Mus musculus: one gene and its partners. The protein of the gene in region 3 purifies or fractionates together with the protein of the main gene of each other region. This does not show direct contact. Links are inferred from orthologs where the notes say so. Each region holds a gene or a part of one and is shown on either strand. Other genes may lie near its edges.

What was found. Proteins that work in one complex are often made in the same cells at the same time.
Region 1: the proteins of Ppm1g (region 3) and H2ax purify together in Homo sapiens (affinity purification with mass spectrometry; 4 studies listed by BioGRID and IntAct, counting the BioPlex papers as one, with this or other methods). This does not show direct contact. The link is inferred for Mus musculus from reciprocal best matches to the Homo sapiens genes PPM1G and H2AX.
Region 2: the proteins of Ppm1g (region 3) and Kpnb1 purify together in Homo sapiens (affinity purification with mass spectrometry; 3 studies listed by BioGRID and IntAct, with this or other methods). This does not show direct contact. The link is inferred for Mus musculus from reciprocal best matches to the Homo sapiens genes PPM1G and KPNB1.

What each region holds. Positions count from the first base shown.
Region 1 is NC_000075.6:44,331,687-44,338,159, reverse strand, and holds H2ax (histone H2AX), read right to left. Parts: upstream 3,446-6,473; 5' UTR 3,399-3,445; coding exon 2,967-3,398; 3' UTR 2,083-2,966; downstream 1-2,082. Other genes in the region: Hmbs (porphobilinogen deaminase), read left to right, coding at 132-245, 470-508, 685-804, 989-1,042, 1,148-1,234, 1,315-1,488; Dpagt1 (UDP-N-acetylglucosamine--dolichyl-phosphate N-acetylglucosaminephosphotransferase), read right to left, coding at 5,038-5,103, 5,189-5,344, 5,510-5,597, 6,068-6,256. UniProt on the Homo sapiens protein: Variant histone H2A which replaces conventional H2A in a subset of nucleosomes. Nucleosomes wrap and compact DNA into chromatin, limiting DNA accessibility to the cellular machineries which require DNA as a template.
Region 2 is NC_000077.6:97,183,511-97,190,941, forward strand, and holds the start of Kpnb1 (importin subunit beta-1), read right to left. Parts: upstream 4,383-7,431; 5' UTR 4,076-4,382; coding exon 4,036-4,075; intron 3,938-4,035; coding exon 3,879-3,937; intron 1,600-3,878; coding exon 1,417-1,599; intron 1-1,416.
Region 3 is NC_000071.6:31,216,088-31,223,630, reverse strand, and holds the start of Ppm1g (protein phosphatase 1G), read left to right. Parts: upstream 1-3,085; 5' UTR 3,086-3,208; coding exon 3,209-3,328; intron 3,329-7,543.

The DNA.
Region 1 (6,473 bases), on a different chromosome or scaffold from region 3:
TTTAAAGGTGTATACACCACCACTCAACAAAAACAAAAGTTTTTTAAAAGTTAGCTAGAGGGGGGAAAAGAGACTGTGGGGCAGAGGGTGCACTGGGTAGGTCTTGACTTCTCCTTAGCAACGCTCCACAGCGGGGAAACCTCAACACCCGCCTCCGGAAGCTGGATGAGCTGCAGGAATTCAGTGCCATCGTCCTGGCTGTGGCTGGCCTACAGCGCATGGGCTGGCAGAACCGGGTGGGCCAGGTAGGAGCTGCCCTGTTCTGCTTCCCATTGAATCTGCCTCTCTCCTGCCTTGATTTCTTCCTGACCATTCTGCCAACAACACTACAACCAGAAGCCCAGGCTAGGGATATTGGGACTCATTGCTGGACTTCCTACCTGTGCCTTCCCCAGGCTTCCTAGATTGGCAAACCCTAGCTCACTGCCTTTGAACATCCCCTATCCCACCATCTTGTCTCTCTCCACAGATTTTGCACCCAGAAGAATGCATGTATGCTGTGGGTCAGGTAGGTTTGCCTGGAGAGAACCTGGTTCATAACCTTTGGCACCTGCTATCCATCAAATAAGATGTTTAGAGAGGGACAGGTTTGGTTGTTATGCATAAGACCCAGGGAAGCAGGTAGAGGTGTGTTTCTCATGCTTAGCTCTATTACTAGAGAAGATCAGGCCTGTTGTTCTTTAGGGAGCCCTAGCCGTGGAAGTCCGAGCCAAGGACCAGGATATCTTGGACCTAGTGAGTGTGTTGCACGATCCTGAAACTCTGCTTCGCTGCATTGCTGAAAGGGCTTTTCTGAGGCACCTGGTAAGATGGGCTCCTCCCATGGTGTTGTGGGGAAACCAGGAAGGGCAGTAGGGAGAGAGATTTGTCAAGTACTCAGTATGTAATGTTTTGTATGTATGGAGAGGACCTTGATCTGGCCCCTTGAGGTCTGTGGTCAAAAGTGGTGTTAAAGGCCCTTAGAGCTCAAAGGAACATATCATTGCAGGAAGGAGGCTGCAGCGTGCCCGTAGCAGTGCATACAGTGATGAAAGATGGGCAAGTAAGCCAGGGAAATGGATGAGGGGAGGGACTGTCATTTCCATGTGCACCGAAACATCTAAGTAACTTTCTTTAAATATCCTGGTACAAACATTTTATTTCCTAGCTGTACCTGACTGGTGGAGTCTGGAGTCTAGATGGCTCAGATAGCATGCAAGAGACTATGCAGGCCACCATCCAGGTCCCTGTTCAGGTATTGACTGGGAGATGAGGAAGGAATAAATAGAACTGCTTGTAATCTTCCTCTTACCAAAATTGTAACCTGTCATCCAGCAAGAAGATGGTCCAGAAGATGACCCACAACTGGTTGGAATCACTGCCCGTAACATTCCAAGAGGAGCCCAGCTAGCTGCTGAGAACCTGGGCATCAGCCTGGCCAGCTTGCTGCTCAACAAAGGAGCCAAGAACATCCTGGATGTTGCACGGCAGCTTAATGATGTGCGCTAACTGGTCTGTAGGGCACAGGAACCCTGGCTGCCACTCCACTGCCTACTTCTGGCTTCCAAGTGCCCTGTGCTCCATCCCTAGGGATGTGATTATCCCAGGAAATTGAACCACGGGGTTGTTGAGACTTCCACTTTGGAAGATATGCCTCACCTTGGGGCCTCCATATCTGCCTTTCCCTCAGTAGTTGGGGGCTTCATCTCTTTAGAGAAAGTCCATGCCAATCTTTGAATGTAACCAATACCACTAATAAACCAGTTTAGAATGTGGTTCTTCTGATAGAGTTGGGGAAGATATGAATAAACCCAAAGCCCTTTTAAACTTGAATTGAGTCTGAGACCTTTCTGTTGTAAAACACGCTGTGATTTGCCTCATGTTCTCAAAAAAAAAAAAAAAAAAAAAAAAAAAAAAAAATCAGCCTTCAATTCCTACAGCCTGTCTTCAGTCAACGGGATCTTCGTGGATTACATAGCCTTTCCCACTCCCACGGCCTGCAGAAAGGGAAGTCCCATTCTCTCCCAAGATGTGCCAGGCACATGGCTCTACCACGGAGCTATATGTCCAGCCCTGGGACTACAGCATTCAACATTAAACCACTTTTTTAAAAAAACAAAACCAAACGATCCTTTAATAAAATTAGCCCATTAAATCTCCCCACTTAAGGTTCTAAACTTGTAATAGCTGCAAAAGTTCCAGTTCAGAAGCCAGAGGCTCAGTCCAGACAGGGATTCACCGGCTTGTGCTGGTATCTAGGTGTTTGGGTTGTAGTTGAGTCGCTGGGGAAGAGGGGATGGATGGCTAGGCCCGGCTGCCAGTCGCCTGCGGCAGGTATAGAACTCTTGTCCACAGGCCGGTAAGCGTCTCTCTGACCCTTGCCGGGAGGTATTCCTAGAGAAACTGGGTTCACATTACAACCATTTTTGGCCCCGCCACACCACACTGGCCTACGAATGGCGACAGGGTCAACTGGTATGAGGCCAGCAACGGTGACACCGAAGGAAACAATGTGATCCATTTCTCCTCCTCTAAGCCCGGCAATCAAGTCACTTTTCAAAGGTCCAGGCGAGGGCTAAGCACCAAGCTGAAGCAAAGACGCCGGGGCTGTAGCTGCGGAGGGACTAACCTTCAAGCCCACCGCGGCCGGACGTCTGAGCGAGGGGCCGAGACTCCGGGAAGGCGCCGCAGCCTCTCCGCACGGAGCCGTCGTCCACAACCGAGAACGGCGAAGCGATGTCACGAGCTCCGGGATGGGCAGGTGCCGCGGCGCCCGCGTCCTCCGTGGCAGAACCGGAGGCCGTGCGGGGTAAGGGGAAGAGTGGCGCGAGGGCGGGGAGGGGAGAGGAGGGAAAGAGAAAGGATGGGGACGCGGCAAGCCGCCGCAGCCCGAAGTGGCTCAGCTCTTTCTGTGAGGGAGGTGGTGGCCCTTAAAAGGGCCTTTGTGGAGGTGTGGGGAGGGCTGGGCGGCCTCGGCGCGGGCCCCCTCAGTACTCCTGAGAGGCCTGCGAGGCCTTCTTGCCGACCGCCGGCGCCTTGGGCCCCACGGTGGCGCTGCTCTTCTTGGGCAGCAGCACGGCCTGGATGTTGGGCAGGACGCCGCCCTGCGCGATGGTCACGCCGCCCAGCAGCTTGTTGAGCTCCTCGTCGTTGCGGATGGCCAGCTGCAGGTGGCGCGGGATGATGCGCGTCTTCTTGTTGTCGCGGGCCGCGTTGCCCGCCAGCTCCAGGATCTCGGCAGTGAGGTACTCGAGCACCGCTGCCAGGTACACCGGCGCGCCTGCGCCCACGCGCTCGGCGTAGTGGCCTTTCCGCAGCAGCCGGTGTACGCGGCCTACAGGGAACTGAAGGCCGGCGCGTGAAGAGCGCGACTTGGCCTTGGCGCGGGCCTTGCCGCCGGTCTTGCCGCGTCCGGACATAGTGTACGAGGTAGAAGAGCTGCGAACAACGCTGAGAGACCACGAACTACCAACCGCCGCAGTCAACGGTCGCCTGGCCGGCCAAGCCCGGCCTTATAAACTCCCTGGACACGCCCCCGCTTCCTCCTGATTGGTTCCTTTTTTAATACCCACCTCTGGTTGGTTGCAATTAACCCTTCGGTGACGCGCCTTAGCTGAGAGAACGCGCCCAGTGATTGGTCCAATTTGAAAACCTTTTACCCGGGGAAGAAGACAAGGCGGAGTGGCCGCAAGCCGGAGGCTGCTCACCCCTGGAAATGGCCAATCCGTGTAGAGCGCGCGAAATTTAAACGCTACGGCGCGACAACAAAACCTGAAGACTAGAAGGGTGGAGCTTGGAGCTACCTCTACAGTTTCTGGGAAATTTGAGTCGGTCTTTGGTCTTAAAGGAAAAGGGTCTACACTATAAGCAGCGTTCTCCTTCCAGGTTAGAGCACTTCCCACTCCCTCCTCTAATCTGGTAGACGGAGGGTTTATTTGTTCATTATTATTTTTAGGTTTGTTTGTTTGTTTTTCGAGACAGGGTTTCTCTGTGTAGCCCTGGCTGTCCTGGAACTCACTCTGTAGACCAGGCTGGCCTTGAATTCAGAGATCCGCCTGCCTCTGCCTCCCAAGCCTGAGGATTAAAGGCGTGCGCCACCACCATCTGGCTTTTGTTTGTTTGAGACAGGGTTTCTCTGAGTAGCCCTGCCTGTCCTGGAACTCAGAGATCAGCCTGCCTCTGCCTCCCTAGTGCAGATTAAAGGGAGGGAGGGTTTAAAAGAAACGAAATGAAACCTCCTAGGAGTTTAATCCTATGCCAGAAAATGGAGCACTGTGATCTTTTATGCTATCACAAGTTTGTGCTGCGATATTTATTCAACATGTTCTGTCTGGTCTTAGTTTGTGACAGGCCTTTTTTGCAAGAAAGGGTCTGATGGAACAGAGATCGGTATCCTATTGGGAAAGGTACCCGGTCTAACCCTTCCAATCTATCCTAAAATGCCTATATAAAAAATAAATATACCAGACTTGGCATATAGTTCAGTGGTAGAGCAGTTAAGTATAAGGAAGCCCCGGTGTTCACTCCTGAAGCACCACGAAGGTTAAAAAGGACAGAGGGAGGGGATGCTACACTAGAGGAACAAGTAAAAGGCAGTCCTTTATTGTCACCGTTCTGAGCACATGGCCCTGCCTCTACGCTTCCCAATCACAACACTTCATTTGATAGTCAAATGTGAGGTCACCTTGGAGTATGTAGCCCTAACTCTAGCCCTAGCCCAGGTTCTCTCTCAAGGCTCAGGTGAATTCCTTTAGAGTTAGCGCTCTGAAAGCTGAGCTACGAATATTTGCATAATAGAGGCTACAAGCCCACCTGGTGAGGCTGCAGATGGGACAGAAAGGGAGGGCAAGGCAAGATGAAAGCCCTAGGCAAAGTCCAACTAGCGGACTTCAAGTCCAGCAAGGTGTCCATCCAGGATATCAGTAGTCACAGATGGCAGAAGCTGAGAACAAAAGTGTCAGCGAGGCCTGGACCAGAGGGTCATCTCGGACCAGACAGAGGCTGGTCCTGGCTGAGGTCCAATGGAGACTGTGAGGTAAAGGGCAGCTGTCAGGGAGCTCAGACATCATAGAAGAGTCGGACGAGTTGGTAACGAATGGAGAAGGTGGCGGCGCTGCTTAGGACCTGGGAGAAGTGGACTGGAATTAGAAGCAAGGCCAACCAGAGATGTAAACGCCATGGCATTACTAAGCCCCACCCTGAGCTGTACCTGCAGGAGCAGCAGGAGCAGGGTGAGGTTTCTCTCATGTATAGGCCCAAAGACTTTAAGTAGCAAGTTGATGAGGGTCATGTTGTTACACTCAGTGAAGGCACCGTCCTCACTCTCACCTTGGTGAACTGTCACTAACCGGAGGTTCTCTGCTACCTGCAGGGACCAGAGGTGAAGATGACTTCAGTTATGCAGATCTACTTCACGAATAGGGATCTTCTTGATGTTCCCAAACTCCCCTTGGGCCTGAAAAGGCCTAGGTTTCTCTTTTCCCAAGTTAAGGATGGCGGCCTCGGGCCTTACCTCCTGTTACCTTGTTACCTTTAAAATAAAGGTGCCCAGGAAAGAGAGGTTCTTGGTCTTGAACTTGGAATAGCTCATTTCCAGTTTGCCTGTCTTTGCGTTGAGTCTGCAATGGGAAGATAATTTCATTTGACTGAATCAGAGACCTCTGCACCCTGGTTACTAAGAAGAGTACTGAGGCCGGGCGTGATGGCGCACACCTTTGATCCCAGCACTCAGGAGGCAGAGGCAGGCGGATTTCTGAGTTCAAGGCCAGCCTGGTCTACAAAGTGAGTTCCAGGACAGCCAGGGCTATAAGGAGAAACCCTGTCTTGAAAAACCAAAAAAAAAAAAAAAAAAAAAAAAAAAAGAGTACTGAGTACTTATGTACTGGAGTTGGTTTCTGGCTCCGTGATCAGGGCTGTTGTAAGCATTACATACTATGTAAGTAAACGAGCTTCGTAAATTACAATGGGCTACCCACATACAGTCGGCTCATCTTTCCCCTCATGTTTTTTTTACATAGGAAATGCAAGTTGGCTTTAGCTATCCCAAGTCAGAAACTATTATGACCCTTGAAAGCCCCAGAGTGGTTACCTGGGCATCCGGTGTCGAGGGCAGGGGATGATATGGAAGAGCTGAGGCAGTGAGTAGAGGAAATTGAATACTTGTGGCATAAAGAAGAGCAGCATGGTCTTGCTGAAGTGTCCCAAGATCCCCACCACGGCAAAAGTCATGCCCGCAAAGTAACAGAAGGTGTCTCCCACAAACACGCGGGACGGGTACCTGTGTGGGAGAGAGGATTTCAGCCAATGGCAAGAGTTGTTACTGACTCTTTCTTTCAGTCACTCGCTCTGAGTAACAGGCCAGCCTTGACCCTGAGTTCTAAAAGAAAGGCTGTTCCAGAAACTCTATAGGCCCCACGGCCCCCAACTCATCTACTCCTAGGGGCTACACAGCATTTGTTCCCAACTCCTGCAGGATAGGCAGGGATTCCACACCA
Region 2 (7,431 bases), on a different chromosome or scaffold from region 3:
GGTCAACATAGTGAGTTCAGCTATAGTGAGACTCTGTCTAAAAGTAACACTTCAGAAAAATGTCATTTCCGAGTAGACACAATTTTGGGTAAAAATAACTTTATATACTCCAAGGAAGAATCAAAGTAATTTGGTTTTCCTAACTTGTGCCAAGTGACAGTAGACAGGATGACTGGAAAAGGGAGGGGGGGTCACTGCTAGGGAAGCACCTGCCTCACAGGACACTAATTTGCCTAAAAGTAGAATCTAAATCCAGCAATTATGATGCCCATAATCTTGACCTGCCTAAATACAAACAGAAACTCCTCTCATTTCCACCTTAATACCCTGAACAAATTATGACTGTGACTATTTAATTTATCAAGTTTCCTTTGGCCCCTATCCATAAAGACCACTAAGTAACTAGTACTTAAAACAAGAAAAAGGCAAGCCTATCTATCTATGTTTGAATCCTGTGCTTTCTAATTCAACAATAACAACAAAACAACAACAAAATCATAAAAAGGCCACAATGCAAAACCAGCAAAGAACTCACTCACAATGCTGAGATCTCAAGAAAGTTTTCCATAACTGGTTTTAAGTACATAAAAAGACAAGCTACACACCCAGGACTCAGAGGCAAAGGCAGTTAGATTGTGAGTTTATGGCCAGCCTAGACTACATAGTGAAACATAAATAGATAGACAAATCTTCAAGCTCTTTGTTTGACTCAAAATTACTTATTTATCTCCCTGACTTTACACATTATCCTGTAAAAACCAGCAAACAACAGGACCTGCCATCCCTAAAACAAAGGGGAGCTGTGGGACTGTGTTGGGGAGAGCAAAACAGCATAACCCTCCCTGCTCTCCAAAGAGTTCAGTTCCCAGCACCCTTGTCTGATCCTCACGATGGCGTGTAACTCCAGATCCAGGGGAATCAACACTCTCTTCTGGCTTCCAAAGTTGCTAAAACATACATAAACACACATTTTTAAAGTAGAAAATATGTTTAAGATATCTATGAAAATCCAGGCATGGTGGCAAACACCTGACCCCTTTTAGAGTAAGTGCAGAAATGTTAGGAGTTCATAGCCACCCTTTAATAAAACCGAGGATGGACTGGGCTACTTAACACCTTGTTACACACTCAAAGATACCCCGGAGTGCAGTGTGGCACTCCCAGTACTTCAGGAGTGAAATCTTTTAAGAGACCCAACTAAAGTTTCCCAAGCTGCTGCAGGTCACCTTAGCAAGCTGAACCCAACAACACACCAAACACCCATTTCCACACCAAGAGACTAATCAGAATAAATTTTTACATTCAGTTAAAGTTGAGGTCTCAGAAATCTGTCATGCTCTATGCCAGGTAAATGAACACTCCCTTACAATGCTGTTCCTTAGACCATGTGACATCAAGGATTGGACAGTCACTTACATAGTTCTTGACTTCCCGTCGAGCATTAGCATCAATAGCGAGCCACCTCTGCTGGTATTGTGCCTTGATATCTGGATCTTTCGATGTCAAAGAGTTCTTAATTTGTAGACCAGCTGCAACTCTGGCAACCTGACTGTTTCCTGGGTTTGCCAGCACTCTGGACAGTTCCACAAGGAACGTGGGCTGTGGAGAAGGTGCATTTGCAAGCATATTAGCAATTTCCCCTTGCTTATAAAGTACTAAACTAGAGAAGCACACAAAATTTAGATCAAATCAAGGTATCTCAGGAAACTGGGAAATCTCTCTTTGAAATAGTACCTGCCTAGACTCAACATTGAAGAGGTTTCCTTGGGTTCAAAAAGTTAAGGCCTGACTAAGCAACAAAAGCCACTTCAAGGACAAGTCACCTGCTATATGAAGAAACAGATTCCTCCTATCAAGAACATGTTTTGAGCCCAAGTCTAATAAATATCTCCCCAGAATTAAAGGCAAGTCGATGCCTGGTGACACGGCAATCCTAGTGACAACTTTCTCCAAGCATGTACAACAATGTCCAGTACTGCAAATCAGCTCAACGAAAAGAATTCTTGAAAAGTATATTAAAAAAAAAAAAATCTTGTTCAAAAACATCAGGACAGCCCTGTGATCTCATGTAAGGCATCCTTTCTAACATATGTGTGCCAGTCTAACATACATGTAAGACCGAGTCCTCCGTGTTTTAGTTCTGCATGTTCAACAAAAGGGATCTGTAAGCCAAAGTGTTAACTAGTTTTCAGAAATTGAAAGAATATGACAATGTGAATGATGAATTGTCAAGAGAAATTGGTTTCATCCCAGCACTTAGGAGGCAGAGGCAGGTGGATTTCAGAGTTGGGAGACCAGTCTGGTCTACAGAAAGTGAGTTCCAGGATAGTCAGGGCTATATAGAGAAATCCTGTCTTGACTCCCCCCCGCCCAAAAAAAAAAAAAAAAAAAAGAGAGAGGGGAAAAAAAAAAAAAAACTGGCTTCATTTAGAAGCAGAACATACCAGGGAGCCTATGGTGTTTTGGACCTAATGTGAACTAACAATGAATCATCCAAAAATCTATGTTTTGAAATACAGGTCCAAAAGATAATCATCTATAACACCCCCCTTCCTCTTTCTGAGCATACAGAGGCACACACAGGGGGGTGGGCCTGTACGTAATCTGTCCAATCAGGAATGTTATAGAAGGCCAAAGTAGACACTTTTTTTAGTGTTAGCAAACTCTTCAAACACAGGAGATAATTCTCAATGTAAGCAAACTCTACAGTAGGCTCAGAACACAATTCTCCAATTTCTATTCTGTGCCACTGAAGAGTTAGGAGCAGGAAAAAGGGCTTCTTGCAAAGTAGCAAAAGCAAAACCAAGAATATACTATGAGCAGAATTCTCAGTCTACACTAAAAAGGAAATGCTTGGAAAGGTGTGAGATAAAAAAACCTTAACACAAGTCGCTTACCTCTCCACCAAAAGTGGTCAGTACAAATCAGATATGTCGCTGTATGGATGTTACTATTTTGCAAAGCTCTCACAAAGGACATTGGGTTACAATGTTTTTTTTCACTTTTTAAAACTTCCTACCTTTAAAGAGACTTTCCATATCATCCACGCTTCCCTCCCCTTCCCCCAAAAAGGAGAGGAGAAACATTCTGGCAATAGGCTGCTTCAATAATCCCACATTTTCCTATACAAAAGTCAGTCACTTTTTCTTTTCTCAAATGTACTTCTTAAATCCGAAAGTATGAAAAACGGGGTTACATTTGTGATTTATCAGAGAATAGGCTCAATCTCAGAAATGAGCCTCAGCCTGAGATCCTTAAAGATGAGTTCTCTGAAAACCTAAGTCCAAACAGAACATTCGTGCACTTAGACCAGGAATGGGATAATAATGGGCAAGAAAAAGAAAAAAATTGTGGCAATGGGTCCAGAGGTGGTCGGGTGCCAGGCGTGGCCATGAGCACAGACCAAGGGAGCTGGGGAAGGGTAGGGCTCTGGGAAGTAGTTGCATACTGCCTCAAAACCAGGGGACAGGAAGGAGAGGCCGGCCGCAGCCAGTACAAGGCAGGCGGCAGGGCGCAGAGCTTCCACATGGCCCCTAGGCCCGGCTCCCCAACCCCCACCCTTGCTGAACACGCAGCGCCATGCAACCTAACTTCCCTTCCCTCCCTCTTTCTCCCTCCCGCAGCACCGCCGCCCTCAGGCCGCGTGGCGATTGGACGGCGATCACCCCGGCGCGCCTCGCTATTGGCCAGACGCGGGGCTCGGGGCGGGACACACCCACCGGCTTCCCGATGGCGGGGTTAGGTTGGGCCGGGCGGGGGGGTAGGGGGACGAGCTGGGGCGGGGTGGGTTCCTGAGGCCTGGGCCTCCAGGAGGGCGGGAAGGGCCGCACGCAGGGATGGGGACGCGGCGGGATGGGGCGCGGCGGGGCGGCACGCACCAGATTCTCCACGGCCGCACGCTCGAGGAACTTCTGCGCCGCTTCCAGCTCCAGCCGATCTGCCGGGAGAGATGGGGGGAGAGGCAGCGGGGTCAGAGGGGCCACCCCCTCCCCCACCCCGGTCACCTCGGCCCGACCCCCCGGCCCCGAGTCCTACCCGGAGACACGGTCTTCTCGAGGATGGTTATGAGCTCCATGGCGGAGGTGACGGCGGCGGGGACTCCTCGCAAGACGGCGGCCCGGCCTGTCGGGCGGCGGCTCCGACTGGGGATGGGGGTTGGGGGTCGGGTGGGAAGGGAGGGTGGGGTGGGGGGTGGGGGTCACCACAAGCCCATTCACCGGCTGCCTCTGGCCAGGCGCTCCGGCTCCCCTTCCTCCCCGCTCTCCTTCCTTCCTTCCGCCCTCCTAATGTGCTAGGCGGCAGCAGCTGCTCCTCTGGCGGCGGGGGAGGGACCCCGGGGGCAGCTCGGAGCGCGGCTGCTGCTCGGGCGGCGGAGGGAGAAAGGAAGGGCGGCAGTGAGTGAGTGAGAGGCGGATCGCAGGGAGGGAGAGAGATCGAGGGAGGGAGGCGGAGGGATATCCTTGCCGGACCTCTCCGCGGCGGCACCGCGCTGCCCAGCGATTGGCTACGGCCGGGGCCACGCGGAACCCCCGATTGGCCGGACGGCTAGCGTTGAAGGGCCGCCACGCGCCCATTGGCCTGCGGGCTTCAAGGTCCGGTTGGCTGGGCGGGCAGCGGGATGGGGCGTGCTTATTGGTCGAGGGGAGGGGCTCTGGGGTGGGGCAGGTAAGAGCGCGCCGCTGATTGGGCTGGCCCGGTAAAGGCCTTCGGGCTCAGCCCGGCTGTGCGCGGGGAGAAGGGTGGGCGGAAGGTAAAGGCTCCAGGCGCGTCGGATTGGCTGGGATCCTGGACGTTGATAGGACGGGGCGCCGGGAGAACTGAAGCGAGGAGTTCGGGGTCGCCGCCGCGCGGAAAGGCGGGAGGCGCCCAGGCTCTTAGGAGTCTGGCGCGGAGCACGACGGGACGCCTCCGGGGTGGGGCGGAGCTGCGCGCGAGTGGCTCGGACTGCGCGCTACGGAGAGCCGTCACTCGCCGCGGTGTACGGAAAGCGAGCCTTTCGCGGGCCTCGGAGGGGGCGGGGACGGGAACCGTTAAAGTCCTGCGCCGCGCCCACAGGAAGCTGCCTTCATGGTGAGGTCGGCTTGCTGCCGCGCTCTGTGCGGAACCGGACCATGAGAACCACGTGGTTCACCTTCCAACGTGCGGATTTGCAAACTGAAGCCCAGAGAGAGAGTGGAGCCTGTCCAAGGTCACACAGCCCATTCCAGACTCGAGCAGAGCTGGCTTCAGGCGCCCCTAATTGCCCTTGGAGACCCCGTCGGGGCCCTGGACTGTTAACAAAGTTTCGCGGAGGCGCGTCCTTAGACCACTTAGCAGTTCCCATAAAGCTTTGATGTCCAGACTTCGTTTACAAGATCTGTGTAGTATTATATAAAGAACGTGTGCATTGACGAGCTGTAGCGACACACCTGCCATCTCAGTATCCCGAAGCCTGAACTACAGTCTGAGATCTTGTTTCAAAAACAAAAAACAAATACAACAAACAAGATAAAAATACGTTGCATATAGTTGCTTAACATTCCCCTCCCCTCATTTGGATACCCAGCTGCAAGTCATGGGGGGATTAGGAGCATATGGGTCAAAATAGCATGTAAATTGTATTGTTTTTAAGGTGTAAAGAAATTGCCCTACACTAGCCACACTTTGGAAACTTGGGATTTAGTGTTCTCTGAAACACTTAAAGTCATAGCCTCGTGGGGTTTTTTAATTGTGTGTATTTTCTGCCTGTAATGTATGTTTCCAATGGCTTCATGTATAGATATGTTCTGAATACTTCCACATCTTATCCTGATTTTAAGAAAGATTTTTTTGTTTACTATGCAAGCATAATTTTTGTTTGGCTGTGATTTGTTGGTTGGGTTGGGTTGCCCCCCTCCCCCCACGGTGGGGGGGGGCGGAGCCAGGTGGTTTCTCTGTATAGCCCTGGCTGTCCTGGAACTCATTCTGTAGATTAGGCTGGCCTTGAACTCAGAGACCCACCTGCTTCTGCCTTCAGAGTGCTGGGATTAAAGGCATGGGCCACCAAGATTGCCCAGGAAATGAGTTCTATTGTAATGTATTCATTAGAATGTAATTCGATTTTTCTTTTTTGTGAGTTTATTCTGTTCTGCCTCTTTCAGACAGGATCTCTAGCCTAGAACTCAATATGTATCTCAGACTGGCTTCAATATTTCTGTAGCCTCCCTTCCTTGGAGTCCTGAGTGCTGGAATTACCCATGGTGCTCTCTCTCCACTGTAAGCATGTGCACACACCTACATGCAGAAGCATGCTGGTCCTGTGCCTCCGTAACTCTGATTCTCAAGACAAAAGGCAGACTTAATGCTATAGAAACTTGAAGTTTTGCAACAAGGAATGTAGGCCCGGCTGGAGAGATGGCTCAGCGGATAAGAGCACTGACTGCTTTTCCGAAGGTCCTGAGTTCAAATATCAGCAACCACATGGTGGCTCACAACCATCCGTAAAGAGATCTGACGCCCTCTTCTGGAGTGTCTGAAGACAGCTACAGTGTACTCACATATAATAATTAAATCTTAAAAAAATAAAAAAGAGCTGGGCTTGGTAGTGGACGCCTTTAATCCCAGCACTTGGGAGGCAGAGGCAGGCAGATTTCTTGAGTTTGAGGCCAGCCTGGTAAGAAAGAAAGAAATGTAGGCCCATCATTCCTCATACAGTATTTCAATAATTTACCTAGTGATTTCCTCTAGCTTATCAGCTCCCTAACCCCAACCTTTTGCTCTCAACTAGGAGGACTGCTCTGTATGTGTGGCTTTAAGTCAATGATGGGGAAGCTGGGAATGTATATCAGAGGGGTTGCTTAGTGCATTAACTAGCAGTCCTCCGTAGTTTTATCAGTCCACAGGAATGGGTGCCTTGGAGAAGTAGATATAGGATCAGGAGGAAAGTTCAAGGTCATGTTTGGCTGATCTGAGCTACATGAAACCCTCTCTCAAATAGTAGGGACTGGAGAGATGTCTCTGTGGTTAAAAGCACGAATTGCTTTTCCAGAGGATCTGGGTTCAGTTGCCAGCACACACATGACAGTTTACAGCCTCCTAACTCCAGTTCCAGGGGATCCAGCGCCCTCTTCTAGACGTTTAGAAATGAGACTCGGGGCTGGTGAGATGGCTCAGTGGGTAAGAGCACCCGACTGTTCTTCCGAAGGTCCAGAGTTCAAATCCCAGCAACCACATGGTGGCTCACACAACCATCCGTAACAAGATCTGACTCCCTCTTCTGGTGTGTCTGAAGACAGCTACAGTGTAGTTACATATAATAATAAAATAAATCTTTAAAAAAAAAAAAAAGAAAAGAAAAAAAGAAATGAGACTCAGTGACATGACATCCCTGAGAATCCTGTCATTTTCTTACAGATTGCCCAGGCAGGATGACCCATAATTTGGTTCCAGGAAACAAACTGATGTCCTGCAATT
Region 3 (7,543 bases):
GGGACACCCTCACAGAAGCAGGGGGAGGAGGGATAGGTGGTTTCCGGGGAGGGCGCAGGAAAGGGGATAACATTTGAAATGTAAATAAAGAAAATATCCAAAAAAAAAAAAGAAAAAAATAATCTTGAAGACTAAATTCTTGTTTCTATCAGATGAAGAAATCAACCTGAATAAGTTGTAAGAAAAAAAATCATAGATAACACAAATAGATAATCCATGGCAAAATCCATGTTCCTCTCACAGTCTTTTTGTCTTGTGTTTATTTTCATACAGAGTTTAACGCAGGCCTCGCAAGACTAGAACTTGCTACGTAGCTGAAAGATCCTGAGAGAGAAGAGTTAAAAATTATGTAAGCCCCTAGACTTGTGTCCAAAATAGACCCCACTAATGGCAGGGAGTAAAAGTTTAACTCGCCCCAATGTTTCAGGATGTACTAACCACAAAGTACAACTTTAACTTGCTCCATTGTTTTAGGAAATGTTCGTACAGAATACTCCAACCGTTCCTTGAACCCGTTATGCTTGCCAAATGCTATATAGCCCATGCCAGATGTTTGCGATTTCTGCCTTTATAAACCCCTTACCCTTGAGCTCAGGGTCAACTCCTCTACCCCTGCATGGGATACGAGTCGTCCCCAGTGCACTGGCCTTTCCTGATTAAACCTCTTGCTGTTTGCATCAAGACCGGTCTCTCCTGAGTTCTTGGGCGTCACGCCATCCCTGGGCTTGAGTGAGGGTCCCTCCCGGTTCGGGGGACTTTCATAGCCAAGGATGACTTTGATCTCCTGATCCTATCTGTACCATCCAAGTGCTGGGATTATACGTTGTACCACTCTCTCTAGTGTCATGTGTTAGGGAACAAATTCAAACCCAAGAATAAACAGCAACAGTAGCAGTAGAGTAATTGCATGTTCCCCCCAGTACCCCCTTTTCCAGAGATCTCATTGAGGTTCATGACAACTTACAAGCCTCATTCAAATCTACCCTCATGGCCTAACTCCAACCCAGAATTTCCACTATTTTTTATAGGAAACTCTCACCTTAAATGGGACAGCTTCTTCCCAACTGGTGCACATACCAAACAGCATCTTGTGTGTGTGTGTGTGTATGCACCCATCTAATTTTGCCATCCAAAGTCAAAGCCTTGGTACCATTTATGCATTTATGAATTCAACAGACATTTAAGATTTAGCACACACAGTATTCGAGGAACAATGGGGACACAGGAAAGATTAATGGGGATCCAAACTTCTGCAGGGGATAGGGAGATCCTGAAGCAGCCTGGAGAAGTTCCCACCAAGTAAGGTGGGTGGAGAGTTGTATTTGGTGGGTGAAAGCAAGCCTTGGGGGGCACAAGAAGGCTGACTGATGAACTGAGTTATTACGGAAATACAGAAGGTTGTGGAGAGGACCAATTTTAGTGATTTCTGATAATTAAGAAATTTGAGCTGGAGATGGCTCAGCAGTTAAGAGCACTAACTGCTCTTCCAGAGGTTCTGAGTTCAATACCCAGCAACCACATGGAGGCTCACAACCATCTGTAAAGAGATCGGATGCCCTTTTCTGGTGTGTCTGAAGACTGCGACAGTGTACTCATATAAAGTATACATACAAAATACATATAAAAATAAATCTTTAAAAAATATTGGACAGAAGAACTGTAATTCTGGGATTTGCTTATGAGTTGAGGGTCTAATTCTATAGCCCAAGTTGTCCTGAAACCTGGGATTTGTGATCTTGCCTCAGCCTCTTAAGTGCTGGAATTACTGGCAATGAGCTATAATGCTGGGCTTAGTTTTTTGTTATTTATTTAAAATTTATGCATGTGTGTTTTGCCTGCATGTATTATGTCTGTGCACCACTTGGACGCCTAGTGCCAGAAGAGGGCGTCTGGTTCCTTGGAACCAGAGTTATAGACAGCCATGTTGGTGCTGGAATTGAACCCCGCTAATGTGGAAGAGCTACCAGTGTTCTTAACCTCTGAGCCAGCTCTCTAGTCCCCAGTTCTTTCCAATGAGTTGATTTTCTTTTACTTTCAGGAAATTACTCCTTTCCGTTATATATAATCCATATAATGAAAAGAACCTGCTGGATTGTCCCTCCAACCCTAACTACCCGTGGCCAGCACCCCAGTCCTTAGTTCATCACGTTCAGATTAAGAGCATTCTAACCAGTTACAGTACCCGCCAGACTCTTCCTCTGGTGTCCAGTGCACACAGAATTAGACTAACAAACGCAAAACAGGCACCACCACAATGACGACCACATTACCCATCTTGATGCTAGGCCATCCATCCATCGCTAGATCTGTTCCTACTTAGAATCGCTCTCCACAAAGAGGCCAGCCAGCTTCCTCAATAAGCCAGCCCAATGTAGTTTACACTTTCCTCAGTCCTCCAGCCTTGTATCCGTATTCCCTTCTCCCGTGGCTAAACGCCACCCTCAGGCACCTTCTCCGAGGGTCTTAAATCTACATTGGCGATAAGCAGCTCGTTCCCGCCTCTTTGCTCTCGCCTCACCCAGCACTGCACCAAACAGTTTCTACCCTGTATTAATTCGAATTTTTCCACAGACCTAGGTCTCCGTTTTCCTTTGTCAGTACAGGCCTCACAGAGCCTGGCCAAAGACCGCGGAAGCGCAGTACAAACGCTAGTCAACTTTAATTGAACCGAATCCGGCGGGGTTTGTCGGAATCTGAGGGCGTGGAGGGAGAGAGGGAGGGACAGGGCTGACAAAACCGCAGAACGCAACTGGAAGCCCCAGGTCCCACACAATAGAGACTTCAGGCAAAAACTGCTGAGACCAGAGCCCCGTGCTAAAGCACGGTCAGCGTGGAGATGGCCGCACATCGCCATGGCTCCCTCCAGCCCCAGCCGTTGGTGGGCGTGGCAACCAGTCTCGCGGGAGCGGCGGTTGGGCGGGCCGTTGTCCCCGAGGGCGGGGCGAGTTGCTAAGGAAATGACCGCCCGCAGCGGCTCACCGCGCCAGTAGGGCGGGGCCTGGAGCAGCGCGGTTTCCGCTTCCGCCCTCTCCCCGCTCCTGTCCCGTTACCGCCTCCTAGCCGGCCTCGCGCCTTTCGCCGGCACCTTGCGTCGACTGCGCAGCCGGGCCCGCTCCTTGCCACGCGCGCCCCCAGGGGCCCCGGCTCCGGCGCCGGCAAGGGTCGCGTCCCGCTTACCTGTTCCTCAGGTAGCCAGCCATCCGCCGCCATGGGTGCCTACCTCTCTCAGCCCAACACGGTGAAGTGCTCCGGGGACGGGGTTGGCGCCCCGCGGCTCCCGCTGCCCTACGGCTTCTCCGCCATGCAAGGCTGGCGCGTCTCCATGGAGGTGAGACAGGGCCCCAGCGGCTGGCCACTGCATGGCAGGAACCTGACAGAGAAAGGGAGCGAGGGGGATGGGGTTCTCCTCAAGCAGGGGTCCCTGACGAGAGCCTGCAGCCACGGTGCGGGAGGCGGCGGCGAGCGCGGGATCCGGGCGGAGAGGGAGCGGCTAGAGCTTGGGGACCGCGGCCTGATGGCTAGTGGCTGCGGGAGCCCTGCCATGTGAGAAGAGGCACCTTCCGCCTACTGGCCGCCGTCTCTCCGTACCTTCGCGCCATCCTCTGGTGCCAGCCCAGCCCTCCAGCTTTTCCAGCGGCATGGGGTTGTCAGAGGGAAGAGGGAAGACTCGTTATTTGTTCGCTTATTGGTCGAATAGATGTGAATGACTGGTTCGTTTTTATTCTTGAAATATGTAATGTGGCAGGCCTCTTGGGGCTACAAACTTGATGGCGAAAAGGAGCCCGGGTAATAATGTGCTTTCCATTCTTAACCCTCAGTTGCTTTTAGCCTTAGACACCTCATGTTAATTTCAGAAGCCCCGCTTGACCTTCGAGAATTGTCACTCGTTCGTATTCTTTTCGAAATCTTTTATGATCTTTAGGAAAGGAATCGTGTCTGTCACTAGGCTTGCTTTTATTTTTTATTTTTTGAAATATGCTTGTAATTTTTTTTCTTACTCGATTTCTTTAAAACTTACTGAGTTGTCATTTTCCTCTGCATATAATTTAGTATACTCGATTTTCAGTCTTGTCATCAATCCTTTTTTGTCACCATCTACGAATAACTTTTAAAAAGAAAAGAAAAGTCCACTTTGGATGAAAGGGAAAGCAATCATTTGGATTGACAGTGTTGAGCAAATGGATGTGAAACTACAATGAACAGGGAATAGGTGTCTTTGAGCAATTTTGTGTGAAGTCTAAGGGACTAGTGAAAAGTTCTAATTATGTCTGGAATCGAGGGTTTATCCAGTTAGTAGGTGGGCTACAGGTAACAGCCAAATAGTTTCCCTTGGTGTTTTTTTTTTTTTTTTTTTTTTTTTTTTCTCTCAAATTCCCTCGCTCCTCCCTGTGGTTAGCTCTGGAATGACAGTGTGAACCTAAATGGTTTGTTCTCAGACTCAAAAGCTATTTTCACCAGCTTTTGATTATGGCTCTAGCATTATCTAGATCCAGCAGAATCTAGATAAATAATTTCAGCAAGGAGAGGGTCCTATTCATTTGGCTCAGTGCCCACATTTAATGGCTTGGAAATTGAGGCCTAGAAAGATTAGGGTACTTGTACCTTGATACAAAGAATTGTATTAAGGTGTTCAAGACAATAGGAGCTGTTCTTATATAGGTGTCAAGATGAAGCACAGCTTTCATATTTCTCAGTGGCATGCTGTAGTAATGACTGGGTAAAGTTAGAGATACCTGGGTATAGTATAGCTTCAGAAGGAAAGCCTTGGGGGTGGCTAAGTGCAACTTGCTGTTCTTACAGGGGACCAGAGTGTGATTCTCAGTGCCCACCCATGTCAAGGAGGTTCCAACAACCTGTGGTTCAAAAAAAAAAAAAAAAAAAAAAAAAGCCGGGCGTGGTGGTGCACACCTTTAATCCCAGCACTTGGGAGGCAGAGGCAGGCGGATTTCTGAGTTCGAGGCCAGCCTGGTCTACAGAGTGAGTTCCAGGACAGCCAAGTTCGAGGCCAGCCTGGTCTACAGAGTGAGTTCCAGGACAGCCAAGGCTACAGAGAAACCCTGTCTCGGAAGAAAAAAAAAAAAAACCCGTGGTTGAATCCGGTGCCCTCTTCTGGCCTCTGCTGATAACTAGTTCTTTCAAGTGCAGTGGGGGTTGGGGAGGGTGGTGGTGGAAGAAAAGCCATAAAGTTAGTCTGGCTGGTGTTTGGGTTAGGCTATGGGGTTCTTTTATTCTCATCTCATAGACTTTTCAAGTTTCTTGTTTTTTAATTTCCGTGGAATGAAATGGTTTTTCCACTTTTGGGGGCACTCTTTCTAGTTTTTTTATGAATTGAGCTGAGTGTTTTTAGATCTAGGAATTCTGTGATTTTACTTCTCTGCTAAGCATTTCCCACTGTGTTTTGGTTCCTCCATTGGAGATTAAAAATCTACTTCATTTTGAGTTTAGGGCTGTTTGGTATGAAGAATTTTGCTCAACTGTTCTTGAGACCATAATCTTCACTCTAAAGGCAATGTTTGAGCATTACAGCTCCTGCTGTGCTATTCCTGGATTTACTTTTGTTTGAGTAAATATGCCTAATCTTGAAGTGCTAGTTAAGATCCCTTTCTGCTGCATAGATACTTTCTTTCTAGGTTTGTGTCCTCCCTCAAAGTATTACATAGTATCTTTGCTATTTTAAGAAAGACACTAAAGTTTTTAGTCTCTTAGAAGAATCTTTCAGAAAATAAGATCTTGATCTAAGAGTGTATATAGTTCAATAGGCCAAAAAGGTGGGGAAAGAGTTATGCTATGTCTTGGTTCCTCTTTTCCTAAGGAATAGACTTAATTCCACCAATTAATGAAGCCCATTCACATTGTTGGCTTGATTCTAAAGACTGGGTTCAGATAAGTTGTATTGGTTTACCTTACAGAAGTTAGTAAAAGTCTGACACAGCTTTAAGCCTGTTTTAGTCTCTCTCTTGAACCAAGGGTGGGTGGTAGTCACCAAAAGCTGGCATTTCATACCTTCTGTCTCAGTCTCTCCAACCCTCTTGCTGTAGAACTAGAATTTGGGGGAGGAAGTGGAGAGGGTGTCAAAATGCTGTAGTGATACACCCCCTTCTTTGTGATTTGGAGGGATTCTCCAGCTTGTTGAGCTATCCTATGGAGTTAAAAGGAGGAGGAGGTGCTGAGAAACAAACAAAAATTGTGAGGTTTTGGTGGCTGGTGAGAAGTCCAGTTTGAACGCAATGTACTGTTGAAAGGAAAAGGATTGTTGAGGCTCCTCTGAAAGAAAACAGTTTTGTGGAGAGTTGGGATGTTACAAAAATTCAATAAATACTCCTCTTTATTTTTTTAACTTTTTAAAGAAATACTATTTATTTAATGTATATGAATACACTGTAGCAGTCTTCAGACACACCAGAAGAGGGCATTAGTCCCATTACAGATGGTTGTGAGCCACCATGTGGTTGCTGGGAATTGAACTCAGGACCTCTGGAAGAGCAGTCATTGCTCTTAACCACTGAGCCATCTCTCTCTCTCTCTCTCTCTCTCTCTTTTTTTGGTTTTTTGAGACAGGGTTTCTCTGTATAGTCCTGGCTGTCCTGGAACTCACTTTGTAGACCAGGCTGGCCTCGAACTCAGAAATCCTCCTGCCTCTGCCTCCCGAGTGCTGGGATTAAAGGTTTGTGGGTTTTTTTGTTTTTTGTTTTTTTTTTGTCTTTTTGTTTTTCGAGACAGGGTTTCTCTGTATAGCCCTGGCTGTCCTGGAACTCACTTTGTAGACCAGGCTGGCCTTGAACTCAGAATTCTACCTGCCTCTGCCTTCTGAGTGCTGGGATTAAAGGCGTGCGCCACCAAGCCCGGCGTTTTTTTGTTTTTTTTTTAATGAGTGCTCTTTCTGCATGTATACCTGGATGCCAGAAGAGGGCATCAGATCCCTTTATAGATGGTTGTGAGCCTCCATGTAGTTGCTGGGATTTGAACTCAGGACCTCTGGAAGAGCAGCCAGTGCTCTTAACTGCTGAGCCGTCTCTCTCCACTACTTTCCTCCTTTTAAAAACTCTCTGTATTTTTTTTTTAAGCATTGTTTGTATGTGGATATGCGTGTGTTATAGCACACATGAGTTCAAAGGACAGCTTGTGGAAATTTCATTTCTGTTCCTACCATGGAGGTCCTAGGATTGAGCGCAGGTCGCCCAGACTTGGTGGCAACTGCCTTTACTTATTCCTGTTATTTCTGCAGCCTTTTTGAGAAGCTGAGGGTAGGAAACAGGAATTTATTATGTAGCCCTGTCTGTTCTGGAACTTGCAGGTATCCTCCTATCTCTGCCTCCTGAGTGTTAGGATTACAGGTTTGGATCACCAGACCCTATTTGGTATTGATATGTTTTGAATCTAACTTTGAGTGGTCATCATGAAAGATTATTGAAGGACTGAATAGATGATGTCTCAGCAGATAAGAGCAACTTGATGCTCTTCCAAAGGACCCCGGTATGGGGGCTAACAACTGCCTTCTGTAAATCCAGTTTCAGGGGATCTTACACCTTCTCCAGGCCTCTTT